Struthio camelus: one gene and its partner. The protein of the gene in region 1 purifies or fractionates together with the protein of each later gene. This does not show direct contact. Links are inferred from orthologs where the notes say so. Each region holds a gene or a part of one and is shown in the gene's direction. Other genes may lie near its edges. The genes, in order: XAB2 and AQR.

Region 1 (15,882 bases):
CGCGGGCGGGGCGGAGGTGGGGGCGTGGCGCGTTCGGAGCGCGGGCGGGGCGGAGGTGGGGGGCGTGGCGCGGTGACGTCGGCGCGTTCGGAGCGCGGGCGGGGCGGAGGTGGGGGGCGTGGCGCGGTGACGTCGGCGCGTTCGGAGCGCGGGCGGGGCGGAGGTGGGGGGCGTGGCGCGGTGACGTCGGCGCGTTCGGAGCGCGGGCGGGGCGGAGGTGGAGGGCGTGGCGCGGTGACGTCGGCGCGTTCGGAGCGCGGGCGGGGCCGAGGTGGGGGGCGTGGCGCGGTGACGTCGGCGCGTTCGGAGCGCGGGCGGGGCGGAGGTGGGGGGCGTGGTGCGGTGACGTCGGCGCGTTCGGAGCGCGGGCGGGGCCGAGGTGGGGGGCGTGGCGCGGTGACGTCGGCGCGTTCGGAGCGCGGGCGGGGCCGAGGTGGAGGGGCGTGGTGCGGTGACGTCGGCGCGTTCGGAGCGCGGGCGGGGCGGAGGTGGAGGGGGCGTGGCGCGGTGACGTCGGCGCGTTCGGAGCGCGGGCGGGGCCGAGGTGGGGGGCGTGGCGCGGTGACGTCGGCGCGTTCGGAGCGCGGGCGGGGCGGAGGTGGGGGGCGTGGCGCGGTGACGTCGGCGCGTTCGGAGCGCGGGCGGGGCGGAGGTGGGGGGCGTGGCGCGGTGACGTCGGCGCGTTCGGAGCGCGGGCGGGGCGGAGGTGGGGGGCGTGGCGCGGTGACGTCGGCGCGTTCGGAGCGCGGGCGGGGCGGAGGTGGGGGGGCGTGGTGCGGTGACGTCGGCGCGTTCGGAGCGCGGGCGGGGCGGAGGTGGGGGGCGTGGCGCGGTGACGTCGACGCGTTCGGAGCGCGGGCGGGGCGGAGGTGGGGGGCGTGGCGCGGTGACGTCGGCGCGTTCGGAGCGCGGGCGCGCGCAGGCGAGGCGGTCCCGCGGGCGCGTTGCCGCGCCCGGTTCCCGCGCGCGCCGCGGTGACGTGGGCGCGTTTCCCGCGCGCGCGCCGCGGTGACGTGGGCGCGTTTCCCGCGCAGGCGGCGCCGGGGTGGAGGCGCTGCTGGAGCTGCTGGCGCACACCCAGGCGCGCCGCATGGACGACCAGCGGCTGCCCGTGGCGCAGCTGCCCGGCTTCCCCCCGCCCAAGGTCCGCCCGCCGCCCGGGGGCGGGGCACCCAGGGGTGGGAGGGGCACCCAAAGGGTGGGGTGGGGGGGGACACCTGGGGGAAGCACCCAGGGATGGGAAGTAGCCGGGGGAGGGGAGGGCTTGAGGGGGAGGGACACCCGCAGGGGGCACCCAGGGGTGCGGGGGCCCCCGGGGGGGACCCGGGAGAGGAAGTACCTGGGGGGGACCCAGAGGGGCACCCGAGGGGGGGAAACGCAAGTGTTGGGGGGTATGGTGGGGGCACCCAAGGGTGGGAGGTACCCGAGGGGAGGGACCCAGGTGGGAGGGCCTGGGGGGGGGACACCTAGGAGTGTGGGGGGGGTACCCAGGGGTGGGGGGCACCCAAGGGGGAGGGAACCCAAGTGTTGGGGGGTGTCTGGTGAGGGGACCAGGGTGGGGGGCACCCAGGAGGGGCACCCGGGGGGGAACCCAGCTGAGGGGGGTCGGGGGGGAGGGAACCAGGGGGTGGGGGGAGCACCTATGGGTGGAGGAGAATGGGGGGGCACCCAGATTTGAGGGGGCGGAATTAGGGTCTGGGGGGGCATCTAGGGGTGGGGGCGACCCAAAGTGGGGGTCCCGGAAGGGGGGGGTCCCTGCTCCTTCCCCTGCTCAACCCCCCCACCCCCAGGGAGCACCCAAGGGTGACAGGGGACCCTGATGGCCCCCTGTCACCCCCCCCCCCGGAGCTGGGGGGGGGAGGGTGCTGCCACCCACATGTCCCCCGCAGAAGTGAGCGCCCTGGAGCAAGGAGCCACCGAGCCACTGTCCCCAGCGTCATTGTCCCCCGCTGTCCCAGGGTGCCCCCGGTGCCCGTCTCCGCCCCCCCCCCCCAAAATAAACTCCCCGGCGGTTCCCCAGCACGAGCCCGCCTGGTCTGTGGCACTCGGGGACATAGGGCAGCCGGGTGGCACCAGGGGACGTGGGACAGCCAGGTTGGCAGGTGGCACTTGGGGGACACGGGCACCCCGGGCTAGGGGGTGGCACTAGGGGACAGCTGGGCGGCATCCAGGGACGGGACGCTCGGGGTGGTGGATAGCACAAGGGACGTGGGGCACCTTGGTGGCACTCAGGGACACGGGGCGCCTCGGTGGCACTAGGGGACGTGGGCACCCAGGGCTGGCGGGTGGCGCCGGGGGACACGGGGCGCCTCGGTGGCACCGGGGGGGGGGGACAAACGTGGCAGCTGGGCAAGGCAGGAAGGACCCATCACCATTTATTGGGGTTTGGGGACACCGCAAAGTCCCCACTTCCCCCCCCCACACACACACACAACGTGGGGACACCCCGGGTGGCACCGCAGCACCCCAGGGTGGCAGCCCGAGCCCCCAGGGAGCGGCGCCGGCAGCTGGCCCCGGCCACACGTCCCCTCCGCCAGGGACGTGGCCGCGTGTCCCTGCCGTCACCATCGTGGCCGTGCCGGTGGCAGCGGGACACGGCCGCGGCGATGACACGAGGACGCTGAGACGGGGACGGGATGCCGCCCCGCGTCCCCTCCGTCACCGACGCGGCCGCTGCGGCCACGTGTCCCCTCTGTCACCGTTATGGCCGTGGCGGTGGCATCAGGACACCGTGACGGCATCAGGCTGTGGCCACGCGTCCCCTCCGTCACCGTTATGGCCGTGGCAGTGGTGTCAGGACGCCGTGACGGTGTCAGGCCACAACCACACGTTCCCTCTGTCACCGTTATGGCCGTGGCGGTGGTGTCAGGACGCCGTGACGGCATCAGGCCACAACCACGCGTCCCCTCCGTCACCGTTATGGCCGTGGCGGTGGTGTCAGGATGCCGTGATGGCGTCAGGCGGCGGCCACGCGTCCCCTCCATCACCGTTATGGCCGTGGCGGTGGCATCAGGACACCGTGACGGCGTCAGGCTGCGGCCACGTGTCCCCTCTGTCACCGTTATGGCCATGGCGGTGGTGTCAGGATGCCGTGACGGCGTCAGGCCGTGGCCACGTGTCCCCTCCGTCACCGTTATGGCCATGGCGGTGGTGCCAAGACACCTTGACGGTGTCAGGCCACAACCACGTGTCCCCTCCATCACCATTATGGCCGTGGCGGTGGTGTCAGGATGCCGTGATGGCGTCAGGCGGCGGCCACGCGTCCCCTCCGTCACCGTTATGGCCACAGCGGCGGTGGCGTCAGGACACCTTGATGGTGTCAGGCCACAACCACGTGTCCCCTCTGTCACCGTTATGGCCATGGCGGTGGTGTCAGGACACCGTGACGGTGTCAGGCCACAACCACGTGTCCCCTCCGTCACCGTTATGGCCGTGGCGGTGGTGTCAGGACGCCGTGACGGCGTCAGGCTGTGGCTACGTGTCCCCTCCGTCACCGTTATGGCCATGGCGGTGGCGTCAGGACGCCGTGACGGCATCAGGCCACAACCACGCGTCCCCTCCGTCACTGCTACGGCCACGGCGACGGTGTCACCGCCACGGCCCCAGCGGCGGCATCAGGAGGTGCCCACGGCGGCAGGTGGCGGCGGCATGTCCTCCGCGTCACCGCTACGGCCGGGGCGCGTCCCTTCGGTCCCCGTTGACGGCGCTGGCACGGGGCCACCGTCACCGCCGCCGGGGGGGGGGGGGACGGACGACGGGGGACGCCCTCAGTCCCGGCTCGCCCGCAGCACTTTCTCCTCGTGCATCTTCTGCACCCGCTTCTTCAGCTCCTGCATCTGCCTCCGCTGCGGGGGGACAGGGGACACCCACGGGTGGCACCGCGCGGGGACGGGGCTGGGACGGGGCTGGGGGGGGGTGGGGACGCGCCGGCCACCGCGGCGCAGCCGTAGGGGCCGGGCAGAGCCACCCCGTGTCGTTCCCCCCCCCACCAGCCCCACCGGCACCCACGCTGGGGGGGGGACGGGGGACACAGCGGGGTGACAGCCTGGGGACACGGGGTGACAGCGTCTTACCCGGTTGGCGTCGTCCGGCGGAAAAATCTCCCTCTGCGGAAGAGGAGGCGGCGTCGGTGGGGGGGGGGGGGGGGGGGGGCGGCCGAGGGACCCAGGCGTCCGGGAGACCCTCCCCCACAGCGGGGGCCCAGGCATCCGGGGACCCTCCCCTGCAGCCGGGACCCTCCCCCCCCCAACCATGGGATCTCATGGCACCCAGGGGATCCAGGTGGCCTTGGGGACCTTCCCCCGCCGTGGGGACCAAGGCGTCTGGGGACCCTCCCCCGCAGCAGGGGCCCAGGCGTCCGGGCACCCTGCGGACCCTCCCCCGCAGCGGGGGCCCAGGTGTCCGGGGACCTTCCCCCGCAGCAGGGGCCCAGGCATCCGGGCACCCCGGGGACCCTCCCCCGCAGTGGGGGCCCAGGCGTCCGGGCACCCCGCGGACCCTCCCCCACAGCAGGGACCCAGGCGTCCGGGCACCCCGGGGACCCTCCCCCACGGCAGGGGCCCAGGTGTCCGGGGACCCTCCCTCGCAGCAGGGGCCCAGGCGTCCGGGGACCTTCCCCGGCGGCAGAGGCCCAGGTGTCCGGGGACCCTCCCCCGCAGCGGGGGCCCAGGCGTTCGGGGACCCTCCCTCGCAGCAGGGGCCCAGGTATCCGGGGACCCTCCCCCGCGGCAGGGGCCCAGGCATCCCGGGACCCTCCCCCGCAGCAGGGGCCCAGGCGTCCGGGGACCCTCCCTCGCAGCAGGGGCCCAGGTGTCCGGGGACCCTCCCCCGCGGCAGGGGCCCAGGCATCCGGGGACCCTCCCTCGCAGCAGGGGCCCAGGCGTCCGGGGACCTTCCCCGGCGGCAGGGGCCCAGGCGTCCGGGGACCCTCCCCCGCAACGGGGGCCCAGGCGTCCGGGCACCCCGGAGACCCTCCCTCGCAGCGGGGGCCCAGGTGTCCGGGGACCCTCCCTCGCAGCAGGGACCCAGGTGTCCGGGGACCCTCCCTGGCGGCAGGGGCCCAGGCATCCGGGCACCCCGGGGACCCTCCCTCGCAGCAGGGACCCAGGCGTCCGGGGACCTTCCCTGGCGGCAGGGGCCCAGGCGTCCGGGCACCCCGGGGACCCTCCCCCGCAGCAGGGACCCAGGCATCCGGGGACCTTCCCCTGCAGCAGGGGCCCAGGCGTCTGGGCACCCCGGGGACCCTCCCCCGCAGCAGGGACCCAGGCATCCGGGGACCCTCCCTCGCAGTGGGGGCCCAGGCGTCCGGGGACCCTCCCCCGCGGCAGGGGCCCAGGCATCCGGGGACCCTCCCTCGCAGCAGGGGCCCAGGTGTCCGGGGACCTTCCCCGCGGCAGGGGCCCAGGCATCCAGGGACCCTCCCCCACAGCAGGGACCCAGGCATCCAGGGACCTTCCCTGGCGGCAGGGGCCCAGGCGTCCGGGCACCCCGGGGACCCTCCCCCGCAGCAGGGACCCAGGCATCCGGGGACCCTCCCCCGCGGCAGGGACCCAGGCATCCGGGGACCCTCCCTCGCAGTGGGGGCCCAGGTGTCCGGGGACCCTCCCCCGCAGCGGGGGCCCAGGCATCCGGGCACCCCGGGGACCCTCCCCCGCAGTGGGGGCCCAGGCGTCCGGGCACCCCGGGGACCCTCCCTTGCAGCAGGGACCCAGGCGTCCGGGCACCCCGGGGACCCTCCCCCACGGCAGGGACCCAGGCGTCCGGGGACCTTCCCCGGCGGCAGGGGCCCAGGCGTCCGGGCACCCCGGGGACCCTCCCCCGCAGCAGGGACCCAGGCATCCGGGGACCCTCCCTCGCAGTGGGGGCCCAGGCGTCCGGGGACCCTCCCTGGCGGCAGGGGCCCAGGCGTCCGGGCACCCCGGGGACCCTCCCTCGCAGTGGGGACCCAGGCGTCCGGGGACCTTCCCCGGCGGCAGGGGCCCAGGCGTCCGGGCACCCCGGGGACCCTCCCCCGCAGCAGGGGCCCAGGTGTTCGGGGACCTTCCCCGGCGGCAGGGGCCCAGGCGTCCGGGCACCCCGGGGACCCTCCCCCGCAGCAGGGGCCCAGGTGTTCGGGGACCTTCCCTGGCGGCAGGGACCCAGGCGTCCGGGCACCCCGGGGACCCTCCCCCGCAGCAGGGGCCCAGGTGTCCGGGGACCCTCCCCCGCAGCAGGGACCCAGGCGTCTGGGCACCCCAGGGACCCTCCCTCGCAGTGGGGACCCAGGCGTCTGGGGACCTTCCCCGGCGGCAGGGGCCCAGGCGTCCGGGCACCCCGGGGACCGTCGCCGGCGGCAGGGGCCCAGGCATCCGGGCACCCCGGGGACCCTCCCTCGCAGCAGGGACCCAGGCGTCCGGGCACCCCAGGGACCCTCCCTCGCAGTGGGGACCCAGGCATCCGGGGACCTCCCCCGCAGCGGGGGCCCAGGCGTCCGGGCACCCCGGGGACCCTCCCCCGCAGCAGGGGCCCAGGTGTCCAGGGACCTTCCCTGGCGGCAGGGACCCAGGCGTCCGGGCACCCTGCGGACCCTCCCTTGCAGCAGGGACCCAGGCATCCGGGGACCCTCCCCCGCAGCAGGGGCCCAGGCGTCCGGGCACCCCGGGGACCCTCCCCCGCAGCAGGGGCCCAGGTGTCCAGGGACCTTCCCTGGCGGCAGGGACCCAGGCGTCCGGGCACCCTGCGGACCCTCCCTTGCAGCAGGGACCCAGGCATCCGGGGACCCTCCCCCGCAGCAGGGGCCCAGGCGTCCGGGCACCCCGGGGACCCTCCCTCGCAGCGGGGGCCCAGGCATCCGGGGACCTTCCCCGGCGGCAGGGGCCCAGGCGTCCGGGCACCCCGGGGACCCTCCCTCGCAGCAGGGACCCAGGCGTCCGGGCACCCCAGGGACCCTCCCTCGCAGTGGGGACCCAGGCATCCGGGGACCCTCCCCCGCAGCAGGGGCCCAGGCGTCCGGGCACCCCGGGGACCCTCCCCCGCAGCAGGGGCCCAGGTGTTCGGGGACCTTCCCCTGCGGCAGGGGCCCAGGCGTCCGGGCACCCCGGGGACCCTCCCTCGCAGTGGGGACCCAGGCGTCCGGGGACCTTCCCCGGCGGCAGGGGCCCAGGCATCCGGGCACCCCGGGGACCCTCCCCCACGGCAGGGGCCCAGGCGTCCGGGGACCCACCTCCGCAGCAGGGGCCCAGGCGTCCGGGCACCCCGGGGACCCTCCCTCGCAGCAGGGACCCAGGCATCTGGGGACCCTCCCCTGCGGCAGGGGCCCAGGCGTCCGGGCACCCCGGGGACCCTCCCCCGCAGCAGGGGCCCAGGCGTCCGGGCACCCCGGGGACCGTCGCCGGCGGCGGGGGCCCAGGCGTCCGGGCACCCACCTTCCTGCGCACCACGTGCTCCTCGAAGTAGGCCGCCTGGTTGGACACCCAGAACATGCTGACGGGGAAGGACAGGTAGAGCAGCATCTGGGGACGAGGGGACGTCACCGCAGGGCCGGGGACAGCGCCCGGGCACCCCCTGCCCTCGCGGGGGCGTCCCCAGCGTCCCCCTGCCCGGGCGGGACGTCCCCAGCGTCACCCTGAGCTCGTAGGGTGTCCCCGGTGTCACCCTGCCCGGGCGGGACGTCCCCAGCGTCACCCTGAGCTCGCGCAGCGTCCCCGGTGTCACCCTGCCCGGGCGGGACGTCCCCAGCGTCACCCTGAGCTCGCGCGGCGTCCCCGGTGTCACCCTGCCCGGGCGGGACGTCCCCAGCGTCACCCTGAGCTCGTGCGGCGTCCCCAGTGTCACCCCACCTGGGCAGGATGTCCCCAGCGTCACCCTGAGCTTGTAGAGTGTCCCCGGTGTCACCCTGCCCTCGCGGGACGTCCCCAGTGTCACCCTGAGCTTGTAGGGTGTCCCCAGTGTCACCCTGCCCGGGCGGGACGTCCCCAGCGTCACCCTGAGCTCGTGGGGCATCCCCAGTGTCACCCCACCTGGGCAGGATGTCCCCAGTGTCACCCTGAGCTTGCGGGGCGTCCCCGGTGTCCCCCTGCCCGGGCGGGACGTCCCCAGCGTCACCCTGAGCTCGCACGGCGTCCCCAGTGTCACCCTGAGCTTGTAGGGTGTCTCCAGTGTCACCCTGCCTGGGTGGGACGTCCCCAGCGTCACCCTGAGCTCGCGCAGCGTCCCCAGTGTCACCCTGAGCTTGTAGGGTGTCCCCGGTGTCACCCTGCCTGGGCGGGACGTCCCCAACATCACCCTGAGCTCGCGCGGCGTCCCCAGTGTCACCCCACCTGGGCAGGATGTCCCCAGTGTCACCCTGAGCTTGCGGGATGTCCCCAGTGTCACCCTGTCTAGGGAGGACGTCCCCAGCGCCACTCTGAGCTTGTGGGATGTCCCCAGTGTCACCCTGCCCAGGCAGGACGTCCCCAGTGTCACCCTGCCCTCATGAGGCGTCCCCACTGTCACCCACAGGAGCAGGATGGTCCCCCCCCCCCAGTGCCAGATGTCCCCTGGTGTCACCCTGCCTGGGCAGGACGTGTCCCGGGGTCCCCAGCGTCACCAGCCCGGGCAGGACAGTCCCCCTCTCCCCAGTGTCAGATGTCCCCTGGTGTCACCCTGCCGGGGTGGGGCAGCCCCTTCCCCCCCCCGGTGTCGCTGTCACCGCTGCCAGGGCACAACAGTCTCCCCAGTGTCACCCAGGATGTCCCCAGTGTCACCCGCCAGGGCAGGGGACACCCCCCCACTGCCCCCCTCGGCCTTATCCGCCCCCCTCCCGTCCCTGTCACCCCCCCCATCGTCCCCCTCTGGCCCTGTCACCCCCCCGTCGCCCCCCCATCGTCCCCCCCGGCCCTGTCACCCCCCGTCACCCCCCTCAGCCCTGTCACCTCCCGTTACCCCCCCAGCCCTGTCACCCCCCTCAGCCCTGTCACCCCGTGTCACCCCCCACTGCCCCCCCACGACCCTGTCACCCCCCCCGTCAACCCCTGTCACCCCCTCAGCCCTGTCACCCCCCTGTCACCCCCCACTGCCCCCCCCGGCCCTGTCACCCCCCTCGGCCCTGTCACCCCCTGTCACCCCCCACTGCCCCCCCCACGACCCTGTCACCCCCCCGTCAACCCCCGTCACCCCCCCAGCCCTGTCACCCCCCCGTCACCCCCCCAGCCCTGTCACCCCCCTGTCACCCCCCACTGCCCCCCCGGCCCTGTCACCCCCCTCGGCCCTGTCACCCCCCCGTCACCCCCCCGGCCCTGCCACCCCCCCGTCACCCCCCTCAGCCCTGTCACCTCCCGTTACCCCCCATTGCCCCCCCAGTCCTGTCACCTCCCACTGCCTCCCCCCAGTCCTGTCACCCCCCCTGTCACCCCCCTCGGCCCTGTCACCCCCCACTGCCCCCCCCACGACCCTGTCACCCCCCTGTCACCCCCCACTGCCCCCCCCACGACCCTGTCACCCCCCCGTCACCCTCCCACTGCCCTGTCACCCCCCTCAGCCCTGTCACCCCCCCGTCACCCCCCACTGCCCCCCCCACGACCCTGTCACCCCCCCGTCACCCCCCCACTGCCGCTCCGGCCCTGTCACCCCCCCTCGGCCCTGTCACCCTCCTGTCACCCCCCACTGCCCCCCCACGACCCTGTCACCCCCCGTCAACCCCCGTTACCCCCCCAGCCCTGTCGCCCCCCCGTCACCCCCCCAGCCCTGTCACCCCCCTGTCACCCCCCACTGCCCCCCCACGACCCTGTCACCCCCCGTCACCCCCCCGGCCCTGTCGCCCCCCCGTCACCCCCCCAGCCCTGTCACCCTCCTGTCACCCCCCCAGCCCTGTCACCCCCCTGTCACCCCCCACTGCCCCCCCACGACCCTGTCACCCCCCGTCACCCCCCCGGCCCTGTCGCCCCCCCCCGCCCCCTCCGCCCTCACCCACCCGAAACACCTCCAGCTTCACCCCCATGGCGGCTCCGCTCCCCGCTTCCGGCCCCCGCCCGCCGCAACAAGCCCGCCGCCCATTGGTCGAGCTCCGAGCAGCGGCGCCGCCCATTGGCGGAGGGGGCGGAAGGGGTGGGGAAGGGCGGGGCGAGGGGAAGAAGCGGCGGCGGCGGCGGCAGCCAATGAGCGCGCGGCGCGGCGTGACGTCATCGCGGCGCGCCGGAAGCGGGCGCGGGAGGGACGGGGCGGCGGCGGCGGCGGCGATGCCGGAGCCGGAGGCGCCGCCGGTGGCGGCGGGCGCGGGGCGGGCGGAGCTGCGCTTCGTGAGTGGGGGCGGGAGACCCCGGGGGGGCGGCGGGGGGGTCTCCCACCCCCCTCCCCCTTTTTGGGAGCCGGTGGGGGAGGGGCGCCCCGGGTGGGGGAGGGGCGGGGGTCTCCCACCCCCCGTTTTGGGAGCCTGTGGGGGGAGGGGCGGGGGGTCTCCCACCCCCCTGTTTTGGGAGCTGGTGGGGGGAGGGGCGGGGGTCTCCCTCCCCCCCCTTTTTGGGAGCCTGTGGGGGGAGGGGCGGGGGTCTCCCACCCCCCATTTTGGGAGCCTGTGGGGGGAGGGGCGGGGGTCTCCCTCCCCCCCCTTTTTGGGAGCCTGTGGGGGGAGGGGCGGGGGTCTCCCACCCCCCATTTTGGGAGCCTGTGGGGGGAGGGGCGCCCGGGTGGGGGAGGGGCGGGGTCTCCCTCCCCCCCGTTTTGGGAGCCTGTGGGGGAGGGGCGGGGGTCTCCCACCCCCCATTTTGGGAGCCGGTGGGGGGAGGGGCGCCAGGGTGGGGGAGGGGCGGGGGGTCTCCCTCCTCCCCCCCTGTTTTGGGAGCCTGTGGGGGGAGGGGTGGGGGTCTCCCACACCCCTCCCCCGTTTTGGGAGCCTGTGGGGGGAGGGGCGGGGGGTCTCCCACCCCCCATTTTGGGAGCCGGTGGGGGGAGGGGCGCCAGGGTGGGGGAGGGGCGGGGGTCTCCCTCCTCCCCCCGTTTTGGGAGCCTGTGGGGGAGGGGCGCCCGGGTGGGGGAGGGGCGGGGGTCTCCCACCCCCCGTTTTGGGAGCCTGTGGGGGAGGGGCACCCCGGGTGGGGGAGGGGCGCCAGAGGGGGCTCCCCGGTTTTGGGACGTCCCCCCGTCCCCCTCGGTGTCCCCGCGCCCCCCCGCGTCCCCCCGTCCCCCTCGGTGTCCCCACGCCCCCCGTGTCCCCCTCCCCACATCCCCGTGTCCCCCTTGGTGTCCTCGCGTCCCCTCTCTGTGTCCCCTTGTCCCCCTTCCTGCATCCCCATGTCCCCCCCGGTGTCCCCGCGCCCCCCCCCCCACGTCCCCCCCGTGTCCCCCCCCGCCCCGCCTCCCCCTGTGCCCTCAGTGTCCCCGTGTCCCTTCTCTTTGTCCCTTCCCCGTCCCCCCCGGTGTCCCCACGTCCCCCCCCTCGCCCCGCGCTCCCTCCCGTCGCCGCCCTCGTCCCCCTCGCGTTGCTGTGCCCGCGTCCCCCTCCCACGCCCCCTCTGCACCCCCGCCCCCCCGCGTCCCCTGCTGTCCCCGTCCCCTCGCCTGCCTGTCCTCCCCCCGTCCCCTGTCACGTCCCTTGCTGCGTCCCCGTTGCCCCTCGCGTTCCTCTCCGCCTGTCCCCAGCCCCCTCCCCTCTGTCCCCGTGGCCCAGCCCTGTCTCGTCCCCGCGTCCCCGTCGTCCCCGTCGTCCCCGTCCCTGTGTCACATCTGCGTCCCCGTGTCCCCGTCCCACCTCACGTCTGCGTCCCTGTGGCCCCGTCCCACCTCACGTGTGCATCCCCACGTCCCCGTCCCATCTCACGTCTGCGTCCCCGTGTCCCCGTGCCCCCGTCCACCTCACGTCTGCGTCCCCGTGTCCCCGTGTCCCCGTCCCGTCTCGCGTCTGCGTCCCCGTGTCCCTGTCCCATCTCACGTCCGCGTCCCCACGTCCCCGTGCCCCCGTCCCACCTCGCGTCTGCGTCCCCGTGTCCCCGTGTCCCCGTCCCGTCTCGCGTCTGCGTCCCTGTGTCCCCGTGCCCCTGTCCCACCTCACGTCTGCGTCCCCGTGTCCCCGTGCCCCCGTCCCATCTCGCGTCCGCGTCCCCGTGTCCCCGTGCCCCCGTCCCACCTCACGTCTGCGTCCCCGTGTCCCCGTGTCCCCGTCCCGTCTCGCGTCTGCGTCCCCGTGTCCCCGTGCCCCCGTCCCATCTCACGTCTGCGTCCCCGTCCCCACGTCCCTGTCCCATCTCACGTCTGCGTCCCCGTGTCCCCGTGTCCCTGTCCCATCTCATGTCTGCGTCCCCGTGTCCCCGTGCCCCCGTCCCATCTCGCGTCCGCGTCCCCGTGTCCCCGTGCCCCCGTCCACCTCACGTCTGCGTCCCCGTGTCCCCGTGTCCCCGTCCCATCTCATGTCTGCGTCCCCGTGTCCCCGTGCCCCCGTCCCATCTCGCGTCCGCGTCCCCGTGTCCCTGTGCCCCCGTCCACCTCACGTCTGCGTCCCCGTCCCCACGTCCCTGTCCCATCTCACGTCTGCGTCCCCGTGTCCCCGTGTCCCTGTCCCATCTCATGTCTGCGTCCCCGTGTCCCCGTGCCCCCGTCCCATCTCGCGTCCGCGTCCCCGTGTCCCTGTGCCCCCGTCCACCTCACGTCTGCGTCCCCGTCCCCACGTCCCTGTCCCATCTCACGTCTGCGTCCCCGTGTCCCCGTGTCCCTGTCCCATCTCATGTCTGCGTCCCCGTGTCCCCGTGCCCCCGTCCCATCTCGCGTCCGCGTCCCCGTGTCCCTGTGCCCCCGTCCACCTCACGTCTGCGTCCCCGTCCCCACGTCCCTGTCCCATCTCACGTCTGCGTCCCCGTGTCCCCGTGTCCCCGTCCCACCTCACGTCTGCGTCCCCGTGTCCCCGTCCCATCTCACGTCTGCGTCCCCATGTCCCCGTGTCCCCGTCCCGTCTCACGTCTGCGTCCCCGTGCCCCCGTCCCACCTCACGTCTGCGTCCCTGTGGCCCCGTCCCACCTCACGTCTGCGTCCCTGTGGCCCCGTCCCACCTCACGTCTGCGTCCCTGTGGCCCCGTCCCACCTCACGTCTGCGTCCCCGTGCCCCCGTCCCACCTCACATCTGCGTCCCCGTGTCCCCGTCCCACCTCACGTCTGCGTCCCTGTGGCCCCGTCCCACCTCACGTCTGCGTCCCCACGTCCCTGTCCCATCTCACGTCTGCGTCCCCACGTCCCTGTCCCATCTCGCGTCCGCGTCCCCGTGTCCCCGTGCCCCCGTCCCATCTCGCGTCCGCGTCCCCGTGTCCCTGTGCCCCCGTCCACCTCACGTCTGCGTCCCCGTCCCCACGTCCCTGTCCCATCTCACGTCTGCGTCCCCGTGTCCCCGTGCCCCCGTCCCATCTCACGTCTGCGTCCCCGTGCCCCCGTCCCATCTCACGTCTGCGTCCCCGTGTCCCCGTCCCGTCTCACGTCTGCGTCCCCGTGTCCCCATGCCCCCGTCCCACCTCACGTCTGCATCCGCGTCCCCACGTCCCCGTCCCACCTCACGTCCGCGTCCCCACGTCCCCGTCCCATCTCACGTCTGCGTCCCCGCGTCCCCGTCCCACCTCACATCTGTGTTCTCGCGTCCCCGTCCCCGTGTCCCCGTCCCACCTCACGTCCGCGTCCCCGCGTCCCCGTCCCCGTGTCCCCGTCCCATCTCACGTCTGTGTCCCCGCGTCCCCATGTCCCCGTCGTCCCTGTCCCATCTCACGTCTGCGTCCCCGTCCCCACGTCCCCGTCCCTGTGTCCCCATCCCTATGTTCCCGTCCCATCTCATATCTGTATCGCTGCGTCCCCGTGTCCCCGTCCCATCTCACGTCTGCGTCCCCACGCCCCCATCCCATGTTCCCGTCCCCCCGTCCTTGTCCCATCTCGCAGCTGTATCGCTATGTCCCCGTGCTCGTGTCCCCGTCCCGTCTCATTTTTGCTTCCCCGCGTCCCCGTCCCCACGTCCCCATCCCATCTCACATGTGTATCGCTGCGCCCGCGTCCCCGTCCCCGCGTCCCCGTGCCGTCTCACACGCGTATCGCCGCGTCCCCGTCCCACCTCGCGTCCCCGTCCCCGGCCGCCCCCGCCGGGCTGCGTCACCGCGGCGCCGTCCCCGCAGGAGGACGAGGACCTGCAGTACGAGGAGGAGATCCTGCGCAACCCTTTCTCGGTCAAGTGCTGGCTGCGCTACGTGGAGGCCAAGCAGAAGGGGCCGCGCCAGGGCCTCAACCTCGTCTACGAGAGGGCCCTCAAGGAGCTGCCGGGCAGGTGGGGCGATGGGGACGGCCCCCCCTCCGTGGGGCGCGGGGTGGCGGGGACGGCCCCCCGCGAGGCGATGGGGATGTCCCCCCCCCCGTGGGGCGCGGGGTGGCGGGGATGGGCCCCATGGGGTGCGGGGTGACGGGGACGGCTCCCACAGGGCGCGGGGTGGCGGGGACGTCACCCCCCCCCCCCCGTGGGGCGCGGGGTGAGGGGGACGTTCCCCCCCCCGTGGGGCGCGGGGTGAGGGGGACGTTCCCCCCCCCGTGGGGCGCGGGGTGAGGGGGACGTCACCCCCCCATGGGGTGAGGGGGACGTCCCCCCCGTGGGGCGTGGGGTGGCGGGGACGTCCCCCTCTGTGGGGCGCGGGGTGAGGCGGACGTCCCCCCCCCCCGTGGGGCGCGGGGTGAGGGAGACGTCACCCCCCCATGGGGTGGCGGGGACGTCCCCCCCCGTGGGGCGCGGGGTGGCGGGGACGTCCCCCCCCCCCCCGTGGGGCGCGGGGTGGCGGGGACGTCCCCCCCCCCCCCGTGGGGCGCGGGGTGGCGGGGACGTCCCCCCCCCCCCCGTGGGGCGCGGGGTGGCGGGGACGTCCCCCCCCCCCCCGTGGGGCGCGGGGTGGCGGGGACGTCCCCCCCCCCCCCCGTGGGGCGCGGGGTGGCGGGGACGTCCCCCCCCCCCCGTGGGGCGCGGGGTGGCGGGGACGTCCCCCCCCCCCCCGTGGGGCGCGGGGTGGCGGGGACGTCCCCCCCCCCCCCGTGGGGCGCGGGGTGGCGGGGACGTCCCCCCCCCCCACGTGGGGCGCGGGGTGGCGGGGACGTCCCCCCCCCCCCACGTGGGGCGCGGGGTGGCGGGGACGTCCCCCCCCCCCCCGTGGGGCGCGGGGTGGCGGGGACGTCCCCCCCCGTGGGGCGCGGGGTGAGGGGGACGTTCCCCCCCCTGTGGGGCGCGGGGTGAGGGGGACGTCACCCCCCCATGGGGTGAGGGGGACGTCCCCCCCGTGGGGCGTGGGGTGGCGGGGACGTCCCCCTCTGTGGGGCGCGGGGTGAGGCGGACGTCCCCCCCCCCCGTGGGGCGCGGGGTGAGGGAGACGTCACCCCCCCATGGGGTGGCGGGGACGTCCCCCCCCGTGGGGCGCGGGGTGGCGGGGACGTCCCCCCCCCCCCCGTGGGGCGCGGGGTGGCGGGGACGTCCCCCCCCCCCCCCGTGGGGCGCGGGGTGGCGGGGACGTCCCCCCCCCCCCCCGTGGGGCGCGGGGTGGCGGGGACGTCCCCCCCCCCCCACGTGGGGCGCGGGGTGGCGGGGACGTCCCCCCCCCCCCCGTGGGGCGCGGGGTGGCGGGGACGTCCCCCCCCCCCCCGTGGGGCGCGGGGTGGCGGGGACGTCCCCCCCCCCCCCGTGGGGCGCGGGGTGGCGGGGACGTCCCCCCCCCCCGTGGGGCGCGGGGTGGCGGGGACGTCCCCCCCCCCCCCCGTGGGGCGCGGGGTGGCGGGGACGTCCCCCCCCCCCCCCCGTGGGGCGCGGGGTGGCGGGGACGTCCCCCCCCCCCCCCGTGGGGCGCGGGGTGGCGGGGACGTCCCCCCCCGTGGGGCGCGGGGTGACGGGGATGTCCCCCCCCCGTGGGGCATGGGGTGACGGGGATGTCCCCCCAT
Region 2 (16,031 bases), on another chromosome or scaffold:
GCAGAGAGCACAGAATCGTAAGAATTCCCTCAGGCATCCAATAACGTGTCTGATACTGCAATTTCCACAGGGAAAATTTTTTTTTTTGCCAATGAGCTATAAATACTTGTTTTGTAATGTTTTAGTTTATGTCACAGTTGTTTTTTTCAATAAGAGAAACTATTAAAAGTTAAGAAATTGTTTTTCAGTATTACCCCAGTATCAACTTTGCTGTTTTCAGTAAGTGTGCTGTTTTACTGCCATTTTGTTCTCTCTTAAAATCCTGCCATATTAATGGAAATGCCTACTGAAAGCCTAGAAAATATGGGCAAAGGTAAGGATGAAAGCTGTATGTGGGTATCTGTTAAGAAATCCTGTGCATAGCTACAAGACAACTGGAGATACCTCTCAGCATCTTAGAATTGTTCTCTCTTGGTAAGTTTTATGCTGTGTACTAGAAAAGCTTCAGCTTTCTCTACAATCTGTATTTTTTCTTATATTGTGAGAAATATGTGCTTGAGCATCTACTTTTCCAGTGATTCTGCAAATAAATTTAACTTTTCATAACACTCCTCATGCTGGCACTAGTAGAAGGGAAATGATTTGTCTTAGAATCTCATTTCAGCAATGAAGTTCCATCAGACAGATATATCTCACATTAATATTTGGGGGGGGGATTGACGCTGTGGATTTGTAGCTTGGGAGGGACAACGCTTGCAATGCTGAATTGTTAGCATTGCTTCTGCAAACGCATCAAGCAGCATACATTTTATTGGGTTTTTTTGTCTAAGGCACCTCAGAGCTCCTTTGACCGGGATGGTAGGAAACCACCTGAGTTGGTTACTGACTTCAGGGTATATGTAATTCAGGTGCTCTCTAAGGTGAAAAGCTTCCCTAAAAAGTTGAGCCTATGATGTCAAGACGGTTAAGAAAGATAGCCTTGTTTTATCTTTTGATACTGGATGTCATTTTGGCTAATACACAGCCAAAAAACATTAAGGCTTATAATACAGAGTTTAGGAATCCGCAGAAAGCAAATAGTAAGGCAAAAAAAAAATTAGCTCTTTGCCTGATATTACACAGAGCTGCCGAAGAAAACGTCATGGACACGTTTTACCAATAGCTGAGAACAAAAATCTGGATGTTAGTGTAGAACTGCCTTCTGTTATAAGCAAGTGTATAATAATGGCATGAAACTTGCCAAACTAGAAAGGGAAAGTCTGCTAAGACTGAATGTTGCTCTAAAAACTAGACCCTCTCCCTAGTTTTGCTGAAAAGTTCTTAACACAATGTTAAGCAAAACATATGAAGAAGACTTCCTGCAATTTGTCACTAAGTGTTTGTTCCTCTCTTTCTGGGAACAAGCTTAAGACCTTTTCTGTGACTTGTAGTTGTACTGTCTTCTTATAGCTTCAGCTGAAGTCAATGGACACTGTACTTGAATTTACAATATACTGTAAAGCACTGCATCTAAAGTTAAGCAGCTGTCATTGAGTCTTTTCCTACCATAAGCTCATTCCAATCTCCCCTCATTATAATGGGGACAATACTACCGTTCTACAGATTTTGTAAAAATAGAATTAGCTAATATTTGCATAGTACTCAGCTAATATAGCTAATAATTTTCCTTGAGAAAAGAACAAAGGAAATCAGTAATTCAGAACAGCACTTGAATAGCATGCAGCAAGTAAGGTAAGATATATAGAGCTGCACACTTAACAGGGAGGAGCTCATTATCAGAAAACTCTCTGCTTGGTGTACTGTCATTTAGAACAATATAATGCATATCCAAAAAAGCAAATTAAACTTGCTCTGGAAACTTTGTGCTTGATGCTTCTTAAAGCGTGCTTATTTTGCAACTGTAATGATTTTGAATGTAGTTGTATGTGAGTAATATATTCAATTAAATACTTAAACTTATGAGGTCTTATCTTTGGATATTTGAGCTTATGTATAGCCAGTTATATACATAACTAAACCAAAGTCATATTACTTTGAAAGGTCATTCTGAAATATTATCATGTTTTGTGATAACGGGAGTAGCTGAACAGCTTTTTCTACTCACACGTTGTGTAAGACTTAACAGTTCTACGAAGCTTACTAAGAGGTTGTCTAGGTGATTTTCCTACCAGTGAAGAGTTCCTGCTAGATACAGTATTTCTGCTACTAATTCCTGATTTCTGGGAGAGCTAGAGTAGTACAAGTAAATACTAAACAAGAAAAGAAGAAATTTTTGAAAAGCTAAAAACTATACATTTAAAAAGGATAAGCTGTGCTATGTATCTAGAAAGAAATTTCCCCATAGGAAATTTATCACATAACTGCCTCCCACAGGATTTCTAGCATATATTTTTGGAGCGCTCAGAAGTGGCCACTGGCTTCTTAGGTTCTTACCACTGTTTTGCTCCAGTTGACAGGAATCTCGCTAAAAATCTCTGAAGAGAATTAGAATAGCCCAAAGACTGCTCTAACTTGATCTGGTAGCCAAACGTGTCCCCAACAACAGAAAGCTGGGAAGGATATTAAGGCTCATTTCCCCACCTCCTTCACTGGAGGCATTGCTTGCTATTCTGGGATACAAAAGCAGCTGGGTTGCTGAATTAGCCATATTCTTCTCTAGTCATGAGCTCAGAATTTCCATTGAAGTTACTGTAAGTTTTGCACAAAAATCAAGGGCAGTACATTGGCCAGAACGTGTGCTAAATAAATATTTATACACAAATCAGAATGCTACTGACGGCTTCTTTACACTTTAAAATTCTAAATATTTTAAGAAGCATCTGTTACTAAACCGAGGCATCATTTTTGAAAGTACCCATATTTACTGAGTGGAAGTACACATATTTGAAAGTACACATATTTACTGAGTGGGTACCCATATTTAATGAGATGAACACAGTAACAGAGTCTTGGAGCAAAAGAATGCACATAAATACAATAGTAAAAGCAATATGATGAGATTGAATTAAAATTATAATGAACAGGCAGAACATTTAATTTATGTGAACATTAACTGCTATGAAAGATATATCATAACCAAAGGAATAAGGAATAAACTTTTAACATCTTAGAAGATTCATGTGATCTTTTTTGAAAAGCTTTCTGAATTTTATTTACCTGAGATCAGGTAAAATCAAAGTATTTGATGTATCATTTGAACAGGTAAGAGACAGAAGAGGTTCCTGGTCTTCTTTGAATAGTGTATGTATTATTCCATTTCCATGCCCTTCATGCCACCATCTCCTTTCAAAACTTATCATCTAGCTTTGCAATTAATACCTCAAAATGCTGCGCATTTATAGTCACTTTCCTTCTTTGGTTAAAAGAAAAGCTGCATGTGCAAGTTTGTAAATATGCATGATGAGACCATCCTATTGAACTTTCTCATGTCTGGAGCTTTCCATTTTGGAGATCCTCAGAGGGATACCTCTCAAAACACTTGTGCTTATGTGTAAATGTCAAGAAGCTAGAGATAAAAGCTGATTTTAAAGAGCTGAAGTCTCCTGAGCCTTACAGTCTTGCTTCACAGAAAGGCCACTAAACAGATGGCTTATGTCACTCAGGCTGGGATGCACCTGCCCTAAGCTGAGGTATCCAATGTGTAGTTAGATACTTCCCCTAAAGCTAAGCTTATGTATTTAGTATAATGCAATTGTATTAGGCCAGAAAAAAAAAAATCGTATACCAGTGAGATGCACTCTAGATATCTAGACCTTCATCGTAAGCAGCACGACTCTTATTAACTCACCTCAACCACCTAGATACCTTTAAGTCTCCAAGTTGTTCACTGGGAAAGCTTAATGCAGCTGTCTCCCTCTCTGCCTTGCCTTTTTCCCTTTCTGCATACAGATGAATTCACTGTCAGAACAATGACAGATCACTTTTGGAAAAAGGAATGTAGACATTCCCTTTGCCTCTGAGTTATGTTGGACCACAAGGTCCAAAAAAAAACACTAGAGGCATTCAACATGAATAGAAAAGAGTAGCAACTACAGCTGAGCAGAAGTACAGCTATATTCAATGACTGAAAGGAAGAGGTCTATGCACCCCGGCATCATGATCAAGAAATAAAGCACACCAAAGCCTTGGGAGACATCATGCACTGGAACTCTAGGCCTAGCTTCAACTTTTACCGGTGGAACAGCAGGTCAGCTGCCAGTAGATCCTCAGCAATGAGGGAGCACACTCTCCACTCAGGCAAGAAACTTCCAATATCCTCAATTACATCTTGTTAGGGGACTCTCCAACAGCTCTGCTGCCCTGGCTGCTTGGATTTCAGGCAGTTGTCACAGCAGCCACCGTGTAATTCCAAATCATCAAAGAGCTAGGTAAACTGCCGTTACTCTGCTGCAGTGACCAGGCAGCAGCATATGGGGTACCCTCTGTCCCTAGCACAATGTTTGCTTAGAAGGGTAGCAGTCAGCTGTTGCCTGTTTATGATTTTGAAAGAATCTGGTGGCTAGAATGCACATGCCTATGCAGGGAAGTGGTGGTGTTTGTTGCTTGCTCAGGAACAAAGCTATCCCACTAGAGTTTATAGAGGTGCAACAGGGTATTCATGTGGAACCTGCATCTCCTAATGGAGGCTTTATTTAGAATGTCTAAGAAGCTTGAGCGATATAAGACTCAAAGCATAAGTGCCTGGAGGATTTGTGTGAAAGAAGAACAGCGAAAAGTGAAACAATTTTTATATTAGAAATATAAGGTGCAGAATCTAGTTCAACTGGCGAAGCATTCTAATCGGTAGGTAAGTATTGTGGCCCCAACAGTAGGACTGCCTTAGGTTCTTACCCCTAGAAATAATCCTAATTAACCTGGTTAATATCTCAAGTGAAACCTAGTCAAGGCTGCCCCCCTGAGTATTTTCTAGTGGAGAAGTTTGGAAGTTAAAAGGATACACATTCCTCCTTTAAAACTCCTAAGTCCACCTGCTGTCTGCAACCTCCATTGTGAATTTCTAAAGCTTGATTGCTCCACAACCAAAGTGGAGAACCTAGCACAGGAACGTCAGCCCCTGCCTGAGCTCCATGAGTCTTTAGGGAGCTTTCTGCCTCATTTGGGATTTCGCTTTTAGTCCAGAGAGATTACATCCTGAAAAAGGTGATGGAGCACTTCTAGAGTACATTCAGAGAGGCTAGAAGAAGAGTCCCTCTGGCTCTCTAACCATGGCAACTAATGTCTGTATTGTATGGTTTCTTTTTATTCCTACTTTAGTGCATCTGACTTCTTTAACAGGACTGCTTATGCTTGGATTTAAATTAAAAAATATGTTTCCAGTTAGCAAAACTCCACAGTCTTCAATCAGGTGACTGTTTGCTTGACAACCCTATTAGTATGACTTGAAAATGGAGTGAAAATAGGCTGTAATTTTAAAATACTATGTGGTATTTATAAATAGTGTCATAGGTGTATATTATTGAGGCTTTTTTCTACTAAAAGTGAATGAAGAATATTTACCCCTTACACAATATGTGCAAAATCCAAAACACTGCAAATTGAGAATGCTCTTGCTTTATGAGTTAATAATTAAATAACAGCATCAACATATAAAAGGTCAGCAACACAGCCAAGTCATAAGCTCAGAAATTTCTGACTCACAGAAACGTCATCAAACTATTGAATTAAGTTTTAGAGGGCCAAAACATCAGAATTTGTCTTTAATTCATGTCACACTGAAAAACCTAAAGCAATCACAATTAATATTAGAATGATTTATGGATTTTTTTTTTTTGAGTTCTTATTGCTAGAAAATCATCACATTGCCAGCTTATGACCTTGGCTTGTACAGTTTACAAAGTAAAAGTGGAAGAGAATATTTTTGCTAGGTACAATTACACAGAAAGGCAAGCATCCAAAACCAGAAGGGCTAGTTAAGCAAGAAAGCAGCATTGAATATAAATTGACCAATAATATATGCAGCCTGGAAATGAATAATAGTCTTGAAAACTGCATCTCCTCAAATATGTGACTTTTTAAATAATATATGTCTTCATGAATGAATTAACAGATTTTTGAAGAGAAAGAATATTTAATTTTCTTGACGCATTAAGTCAACGAGTACAGAAAGATCGGGAAGTTCACAGCAGGCTTTGGGGAAGACGGAGTGCAGCGTTTCCTTTTTCCCCTGGACTACAAAGCATTTTAAGGTGGAGAGTGACAGACATGCCTCCACTCTGGGAGAAACTGAGTGTAGCAGTCTTAACAGACAGTTGTGAGCTGGGTGAGTCACAGGTGGGGACATAAGCACCACACTGGTACCAGTATGTCTGATCTCAGTATGTCTGATCTCACCACAACTCCTCTTCAAAGGTTCAGCTGCTCTTGATACTTGGAAGTACATCTTGCCAAAGCATTACTTAATACTTTTGATATTCTTTTATAGTCCTACCATCATTGTACTCTGTAACTAAACAATAGTCCCTTACAGACTAATATTTAACGCATCCTTTGTAGGGAGGAGATCTTTACCACTTTACTTGGCATTGCCATCAAGGGATGTAATCATATTGCCTAACAGTAGGCATCGAACTTTAGCTTTCTTTATCAGCAGAGGCTCCTCCAGGAAATGAGTCAGAGCATTTACATGAGCACTGATGTGCCTTCTGGAAGGGTCTCTGACTCTACATTGACTGCAGAGAAATCTAGGACAACTAACCTCCTCATTGGGACACCCAAAGGCCAAAAGTTAGGTAAATACAGATTCCTCCTTGAGCTTTCATAGTTTAGATACCATACGGAAATCTAAGGTTTCTGAGAGATGTTTAACACTCACAGACTGATGATCTATCATAAACAGAAGCCAACTGTTGGACAGCTGGAATAATTTAACTTAGCCATGCAAGACCATCTGGGAAAATTTACCAGCCCAAGTCCAAAATCTATTTGCCTTGCCTACCTTTTGGCATGGTAATTGTTCCAAAAAAAAAAAAAAAAAAGAGAGAGAGGTAGGCTGCATTGGTGACACTTAATGCATGTTACTGGAAAAGAAATCTAAGGTCATAAAATACTATCAACTGAGATCCCAAGTAACCATTACCTAATCTCTCCTAAACATATCACACCATGTCTTAAGCATAAGTTAAACTTACGGCTCCCACCTGAAAGCCATTTTTAGAAGCCTTCCTATTTTCAGCCTGTTTGTACGTAGCTTTTGTTCCTTTGCCCTCTTTTTCAGCACCGATTTGTTCCTTCAGTAGTTCCTTCTCTTCCTGCCATTTACCCCTCGAATCTACTTACGGGCAGTAGAAGTACTCTCCTTTTGCCAAACTGATAAACTGTTATATTACTATTCATTACGGTACATGCAAACATAAGCTATCTATGTTCATTTCTGAGGTGGTTAGGTATAGGGGAAGTTAATTCTGGAAGCTACTACTTAACAGTGTTCTCTCCAACTTATTGGCTAAGGTACACCAACATGCTAACAAGGCTCATCCAGCGAGCTTAGAGCATAGGTAAATTGTACTTATGTTTTTTACATTTGTCCAGGAATGCAAGTGCTAGCAATCATACAAAGCAATGGAGAAAGCTCAAATGTAACCGCCTGTTTAGGTGTCGGTACAGAATTAGATAAACCTAAGTCAATCATGAAGCTGCAGCCTCTAGGTGGATTACTTTAAATCAAAACATTTGACTTTTGCTGATTTTCATCACAGTTTAAATGTCAGAGTACATTGGTTTAAGTGTATTTTAATTGCTTTGTATTTGCATATCTTTAATTATTAGACTGGATAGTGCTCAATCCTTGTTGTTTACATAAATTATTATCACTAGCTCTTGAAAACTTTTTGATTTTACCTGTTTTCATATAGCGAACTTAGATTTTCTGGATCTTGCAAAGCACAGGAATGGAATAGGTGTATTTATTTGAATGCAGCCATTGTCTGATCCTAGTCGAGATACTGTCATTACTTTTTCCGTTCCCACTGTACATTCTAATTCAACTTCAAAAAGAATATTTAGTTTAACCTCTTCTTGAAGAAATGAAATGGAGATCACCTTGATATCAAAACAAAGGAGGTCATATTCAAACAGACTTCAATGATATCTGCCTGGAAGTTTAAAGTACTCAAGTGGCAGGTGCTGGATAATGAGCACAGAAACAAAGCACTGTAACTTCTCTAGGGATTATGTTAATTTCCTCCTTAATTAATCTGTTTACTAAATAGAATAAGTTAATTGCAAACCATTCTAAATCATAACCAAATTGCTGGTTTCTGTAAGCATGTACTTTTCCCTTCTCGCCCTTTTGCCTCTCCTCTGCTCCACAGATTTTCCATGTTATAGATATATATCTATATATGAAACAACATGCACTATGCTTAGATCTTGGTGGCATTTGTTTGATGTTAACAACAGATCTTTTCCATATTAGCTCTTGTATAGTATTTGGACTGAAACCTTTGCTCTAAATAATAACAGCAGTAGTCACTAGGTATACTTATATAGCATTTGAAGAGCAGGCATAACGGCAACCATAAGCCTGACGTGTTCTTAAGTGCCTCTGCCTTTACAGTCTTTTCAGACGGCAGTCTTTTGAACAGCTTTTTCAGGTTTTCCTAGCAATGTACTAATATACTGAGTCACACGTGCTTCTAGGCACAGCCTCTGCCTTCATCTAGGCCTAGTCATACGGCAACACTATTGGGATGACGTAGCACGGCAGTCTGGCCTGGATACAGGCCTTAAGAGTGACTCCGAAACGTAGTAAAGACTTATCTATCCACCTAGCAAGACAGGGGTAAAACTGCCACTGCCTCTCTGCAGAAAACTAAGAAAAAAAAAACAAAAGAGGAGCTTTCTTACCACCTCATACAGATTACCTGTATCATTAGCTGCAAGGTGGTAGAGAATGAACACCTCCAACTCAGACAGATAATGGATAGGAAAGAATTAGAAACAATAAGCTGCCAGCGTGTGGCTGATAACGTTGATAACCAAATTGCTCCCACCTCAAAGTTTCAGATGAGTTCCTAAGTTACTTCTGGGTCTCTCTGCAGTCTGTCTGAAATGTTATACTTCACTGTCATCACTGTATCCATTGTCTAGAGTCTTTCCCTGTAATTTTGGGACAAGCTTTGGTTTTATCAAACTAGCTTTTGGCTATTTCTCTTGCATAATCATGCATAATTTATGTTACAGAAACAACACTAGCAAACAGGGAAATAAATTAAAAAAAAAATTTAAAAACCCAAATATAATCGTCCGAGAGCCTTGACCTACATTTTCAGTATTCCCTTCTAGGCTTTTCTCCATGCATTTTGGTGCTGCCAGAAGTATTTTAGGGACTGTAAATACGGACACGTTAGTCTGGACTACTGCTACGTGCAGCCAAGTATGGCAGCACCCAGGCTAATTAATCTCGCTTGGGCAGTGCGCCTAAAACCGACGCACAGGCATTTCCCACACAGGCGCGCCCGAGTGCGCGCTGAGAACCACCACGTTTACATCCCGTATCTGGCAGAGCGGAGGCTGGCGACGGCACGGGGCCTTCCGCCCGCTGTCCGCGGCGGGCCGCTACCGCCGCCCCGCTCCCGGCGGCCGCCACGTCGCGAAGCTCCAGGCGGGCCACAGCGGCTCTCCGGGGCTCACGGCCTCGTCACAGCTCTCCCTTGACCCCACTCCGTGGCCGCTCGCCCACTGCAGCTTCCTCCCCCCTCCCCGCGGCCCTCCCGCTGCCCGGCGGACCCGGCGGCGCCACTGCCCTGCCCCGCCCCGCCCCGCCCCGCCTGGCGGCCGCCCTAGCCCGCTCCGTGCCCCGGAAGCGCTCCGCGCCCTCCCCCCGCCCCCCGCGCTCGGCTCCCGTCACCCGGCCGCTGTTTCCGCTCCGCTTTCTATTTCCGCACTTCCGGCGCTCTGGGCGCGCGAGCCCGTGTTCGGGACACGCCATTCCCGGGCGGCGAGGGGGGGGAAGCAAGGGGACAGCGGCGACGCCACCTGTGCGGGGAACGAGGGGGGCGAGAGCGCGGCGTGGCCGGCGCGTGCGAGGCGGCGCGGGCTCGTAGCGCGATGGCGGCGCCGGCGGCCTCGGCGCCGCCGAAGAAGATCGTGGCGCCCACCGTGTCGCAGATCAACGCGGAGTTTGTGACACAGGTGGGGCCGGCGGAGGAGCGGGCCGGGCCGGGCCGGGGGAGCTCTGGGTGCCTGGTGGGCCGCGGGGCGCCAGCGGCTTGGCTGGTCACCGGGCCGGTAACAGCCGGGCCGCGCGCGAGGCGGGCGGCGGCGGCTGCTCGCCTCGGGCCGGAGCCGGAGCTGCGCGGGGCCGTGCGGCCTGGCGGAGCTCGCCCGCCCGCCCGCCCTGCGTCGTGCCGGGCCGGGCCGCGCTGTGCCTCCGTGAGGCCGCTCCGGCTCCCTTCTGCGTTTGCAGAACTTGTTTCATCGTTGGCCCCAGTGGCTACGATCTCGCTGTATAAACGGGCTTTGCAGCCTGCGGTGTTAGGGAAAAAGGGTTTAGCTTTGTCGCAAGCGAGCAGGTATTTTTTTAGACCTGGATTACATAGGGCAGAGTGTGTGCCCGACGAGTTTTCAGGCTAGAGAGACTTGAAGAAAAAAAGTAGGAATGTTACAAAATAAATGAGGATTGTCATAGTACACAAAAAACTGTATGAAATTTTTTGTAGTTCAGTGTTCTAAGTGGTTTTATACAGCTTTTTTTTTTTTATACTGAAAATACTGCTTTGCTTTCTTTTCAACCACATAAATAAGTTTCAATAAAGACAGCCCTTGGCAGCATAGCTCAATAGTTTTGTTGCAACAAAGGGAATAGCTACAGTGAATAGTTTGGAAATATTGGAGCTTTACATATAGCCCTTGGTTTTTTTAGTGGGGTGTACTCATTTAGTTAAAATTTTCTAATCTTTGCATTGTATAAAAAAGCCTGGCAGCAGCTGCTTGTCCAGTTCAGTCTGATTCAGAAGTGTACAAGCTTAGAGTTCTCTGAAGTCTTAATTTTTCATGTGGGATTACTTGTTTCAATAGAGGGATTTGCAGCCTCCTGAAAGATCCCTGTAGATTTTTCAGGGATTTGCTAGGGGAAACTTAAGAAAAACAGGTTTGCTTTTGTAGTACAGCACTGTGTGCAACTGAAACTTTTATGAGGCATCACACCTTTATTGTAAAGATTTTAGGCACAGAATCTTAAATAGTTGAAAGTTATTGTTGTTGGAGAACATAACGTTTGTATGTAGTTACTGTAAGTTGAAATTAAGCAAGAAACTAGGGAAATACACAGCCAAATCCAAAGTGTTTAGAGTGTTATATAGAACAACATATGACAACTGAAAGTGTGTTTGTTTAATGTATTTCAAACTTGTTTTTTTCCTTACAGTTAGCAAACAAATACTGGGCTCCGCATGTGAAGAAAAAGTTGCCTTTTGATTCAAAGGTAAATATTTTTAGTGGTATTGTACCGCGCTGTAAAAGAATAAGAAGCAATACTTTTCTGCCATGCTAAACTGATGCTTATTTTTGTAAGGGTGTAGGAGACTACTCGGAAAGTCAACAGTTGCTTAGCACGCTATTAGCTGTTGCTTAAGTTGTTTGTGGTTTATACACATAGGTACCGTTCTGAAGATGCGCTATAGCAGTGCAGTTCTTTTGCATGCTATTTATTCTGTTCGTTTTAGCTTGAGAGCTTGTGAGGGAGAAAAAGATGTTTGAGAAGGGGGCACTGTCAGAAATCAAAGAAGGACCAAAGATGCAGGTAACACTAAGCTGTAAGGGTTCCTTTTAAAAACTTCTTCAGAGGGTTTTGATCAGAGAACTGAAGTGGTGTTTTGGTGGTTACCTGCATTGTGAATGTTTAAAATTTGGCATAATGTTTTTGGTTCTCCGTTGGTTTTCTGTAGTGCAGGCTTCTCAAATGTTAGTTTTCATTCCCTTGTGGATATTTGGCTTAACCGTCCTCTCTTGCCTTAGTTTACCCACTTTCTTTACAGTGTTTGTGGTAATATTTGCATCTGTGATTGTTAGAGCTAGAATGTAGATGATCAGCTAAATTACAACTCTGACAGCAGATGTGATATCAGAATGTGCCTACCGCAACAGATAGTGCAGATGAATTGTCTACAGTTCTTTCAGTCCTATTGGAAAATATAGAACAGTGTGGATTTGGTCAGTTATAAGAAACAGTGGCAATTGATGCCTGGGGTGATACAAACTTGAATCTTCAAGACTATTCTTTAAATTCAGCAATAGACCAAAGATGAGCCATAAAAAGGTATACATAGCTGTTTGACTTGTGTATCAAATCTCAGTGAGGTGTAGGTTGTTCCTTCTGAATAACTTGAATGAAGGTCCTATCAGTTCTCTACCATCGTGTGCTTTTTATTCCCCTTAGCTGATTAATTTTTTTAGTGCGGATGTCTGTCTGTGGAGCTTTTGGTCTCCTCAGAACTGAGACATATCTGTTATGACATTTTTGACCAAATAGCATTACACAGAGAGTAACTAATTCAGAGTAACTTTGAGTGCATAGAATACTTGAATGTATTTTTAATCATGTCATTAAATATGTAAACTTCTTAAAATTCCTTTTGAAATATTCTTTCCCATAGGTTATTGAAGATGTGTATGCAAAAGAAATTGTCAGGTCAAAGTAAGTACGTCACTAACAGACAAGTATTCCAACGTTTTCTCTACTGAAATGGTCTTAAATGTTTATTGAACTACTTTAAAATACACTAAGATGAAAATAACTCAAGCACATTTGAGCCATTTAATGGATGATATCTCATTTCAGAGACCAAATGGGGTAAAAAGAAAACTCACGAGCTCACAGTCCTTAAATATGAGGGTTGGATGTAATTGGTTCCTTAAGCTGTTACTCTGCTTGTTGTAATCCTTGCGTGGGTGATGTGTGTTGTTTTATTTTTTTTGTTGTCACAATGGTTATATGGCTGGGCCCTTCTTTTGCCACCCAGTTATGTACAGAAAAGATCAGTTAAAAGCTAGCAGCAACACGCTCCTCTGCTCAAGTCTTATTCCATTCAATTGCAGTGTTAGAGAGGGGAGACAAAATGTCACATTAAACTATATTCTACAGCTGCTATACAGACGAGAGTTGTAGTAATAGCTGTCTTTCTTTCCAGTTCTTCAGGGGAGGTTTCAGCTCTGGAGAGAATTCAGTTTATGATTGTTTTATGAAAGTAATTTAAGAATTGCCATGCAGGTTTGGAGCAGTGACTAAGAAGTGATACCGTTATGTAATAGCCAGTATGTAGGAACCAATCAAGTATCCAGTCATGGTTTCCCAGAACACTCTCAGCTGCTAGTGATTTGTGACTTAAAGACTGTTGGAAGTGGTATCTTCATACTTAAAAGGTCTAGATGGATGCCTTTATGTGAACTTGTTGATTGATTCCTTAATGAATACACATGAACTTCTAGCTTCCACAGTGTAGAAGTTACAGGAGTGGCTTCTGCATTCAAGTGGTTGCTCTTGCATAAAACCTGTAGGGGGGAAAAAATCTTCTAAATGAATGGTACAGGTTTCATTATATAACCAAATAAAGGAAGAGGTAGTCATTTTCCATGTAGCTAAGATGGGCGTGGAGGCTTTTTTTTTGTGTTGATTGATTGATCTTTTTCCCCCTCTTCCTTCCCCTTCAGGTTTGCTATTAGGAAGATAATGCTTCTTGAGTTCAGGTAAGCTATTTGGAGTGAATTTTTAAGGTATTTTTCTGTAGCAACAGGTGAAAGTAAACATGAGAAATGAATGCAGAACAGTAAATCAATTTGAAGGTGGTATACTCATATGTTCCTACATACTAAAGCCTCGAGTTTGGTGCTTAGGCAAATTTAGTGAAGAGAACTTCATTTGAGGAAGGAATAGTTTCATAAGCATAAATAACATGCTGAAGGTCTTGCTTTATGACTCTAAATTTCTAATGTAAATGAATTGCTAGCACTAAAGAAGAACCTAATATACCTGAAACAGGTGATAAACTTGGATCCATAATTCAGGATGCATCATTAAGCCTTAAATCAGAATTCACTGAAGTCGGTGCAAGTTTTCACATTGTGTCTCTTACAGCAAGGGGAAAAAGAGAATTGTTCTGCAATAGTATCACTGAAATTTTCTTCACCTGAAAAGAAATGGAAATCTGTTTGAAACAGTTTTAAGATACTTTTAAACTTTTCTGGAAGCTTATCATAAAACATGTGTAAAATCATGTAAAATACATATATGCAATATTTACATGTCTTTAAACACAGTAATTAGTCTTTTATTTGGCTCTGTTTTATCGCAAATCTTATGGGCAGATAGAATGAGATGGTGTTTGGCTAGGATGGATGCTTTCTTTGTGAAGGCTGAAATGTGTAAGTAGTTCCACTAATTAGAAAAGTAGGATATACTTAGTATTTCATTTATGACACTGGTATTTCCTTCCATTTCATACTTTACTAATGGAAAAGGTGGCAGGGAAAACGTAAAATAGAGTTTGTGGGTTTTGACAAAGACAAATGGTATGCTGGTAGCGTGACTGTCCTGGAGTTTATATCTATACAAAGAAATAATGTGCAGCTAGCATTTTAATCTTTTCTGTGAACACTCTTTCTTCATGTTATCAACATGTAACGTTGAATGTAGCTAGTACTTTTTGGTATATAGCCCCATCTGCTGCCATATGTCCTGTAAGTCATTTTCTTTTCCCTCATTATCCCTCTTGCAATTTCAAACTCTCCTATCTTCACAGATATGAGATATTGCCCTATTTTTTAGATTTCATTATAGAGTTCATGTACATTTTTTCTTACTTGAGGGGCTTAAGGTTATTTTTATTAAAATATATTGAAGTTTACTGCTGTCCTTGGGTGAAATGAAGTATGGCGTTTTGGGTTTTTTGTGTTTTTTTTCCTCCCCTCCTATTGAAGATCCAAGCGCTCTACCCAGTTCCGTAAGCCCTTGGGAAGTGTTATGCGTTTCATTTTGTATACGCACCTGTGAAATTCTCTCAGCTCCTTCGGAAGCTACACGTTCTGACTGAGGTTCCAGAAAGCAGAAATGCGTGTCGCCTCTTACTGAGTCCTTTGCTCCCGGTTACAGCCTTGCTCTCGCTGCCTTTCTTTTTGCTGTCCGTGGTACTGGTCTCATCTGAAAGGACTGAACTAGCTTTCTGCAAGGCATCAGAAAAATAAGCTGTGAAAAAAGTAAATAGGTGTTTTAGCCATGCTAGAAAACTGAGTCGGCTCTTGAGGAGCCGAACAAATGTTAGAGCTGGTGTCAAGAGGAAGGAATGGCTGGGCAGCCTCAGGTTTAGGAAGGAGCAGGATGTTCCCCTTTCTGGTAGCAACAAGATGTTAAATTAGCACATGGCATAAATGCACCGTTGTAGATGATGGACTTACGGATTGCCTCTTCAGGAGTAACCATCCTGCATAGTTACTTCAATAAAAAGTTAAAGGAGGGAGACTCTCGCTCCAAATTTTCTTTCATCTCTGCACTCTAATTTTGCAGTTTTCTTCTATGAAAAAGTGTCATATTAATGAAGAGAAAAGTTCCCATTGCTGTGAAGCTGCAATTTCCCAGTGTCTAGTTGTTCCCTGAGTTTAGTTACCCTGTGAAGTCACAGGTGAGCAGGAGATTTGAACATCCATTGCTCAGTCAGGGACAGGTTGTTCTTTTTTTTTTTGTTGTTGTTTTTTCTTTTCTTTTCACCTTGTTGAAATCACTTAATCACTCCCCTAAAAATAAATGCTTTATTTTAGTCACGCTGTATTTTCATTGCCTTTATATGAAGATTATAAGCATAAAATCTCTCTAGATGATTTCTAGCTTTGTCCAATAGTGTATGTAATAATGCAAATAATGTAAAATAGTATACTGTGAATTTTCTCTTAAGAAAATTAACATTTGCATCTTACCCTAGGAAATGATGCATGTGATGTTCTTCAGACTTAACTTGTTTTTCTTCTTCCTGGAAAATCAACATGAATTTGTATTCTGACTTTGTACTGAACTGTGGCTGCCTGTTGTGGCTAAGTGAAAAACTTCTGATCTGTGTGTCCTCCTAATGAGAAACTCATCTGTCTCTTGTAGCAGTTATCTGAGT

The links.
Region 2: the proteins of XAB2 (region 1) and AQR fractionate together in Homo sapiens (co-fractionation; 3 studies listed by BioGRID and IntAct, with this or other methods). This does not show direct contact. The link is inferred for Struthio camelus from reciprocal best matches to the Homo sapiens genes XAB2 and AQR.

Annotation. Positions count from the first base shown.
Region 1 is NC_090972.1:3,506,629-3,522,510, forward strand, and holds the start of XAB2 (pre-mRNA-splicing factor SYF1), read left to right. Parts: upstream 1-10,159; 5' UTR 10,160-10,193; coding exon 10,194-10,253; intron 10,254-14,090; coding exon 14,091-14,239; intron 14,240-15,882. Other genes in the region: PCP2 (Purkinje cell protein 2 homolog), read left to right, coding at 1,035-1,144, 1,791-1,820; protein PET100 homolog, mitochondrial, read right to left, coding at 3,768-3,845, 4,074-4,106, 7,404-7,490, 9,929-9,955. UniProt on the Homo sapiens protein: Involved in pre-mRNA splicing as component of the spliceosome. Involved in transcription-coupled repair (TCR), transcription and pre-mRNA splicing.
Region 2 is NC_090946.1:50,541,521-50,557,551, forward strand, and holds the start of AQR (RNA helicase aquarius), read left to right. Parts: upstream 1-9,790; 5' UTR 9,791-9,987; coding exon 9,988-10,071; intron 10,072-11,305; coding exon 11,306-11,362; intron 11,363-12,533; coding exon 12,534-12,574; intron 12,575-13,587; coding exon 13,588-13,623; intron 13,624-16,031.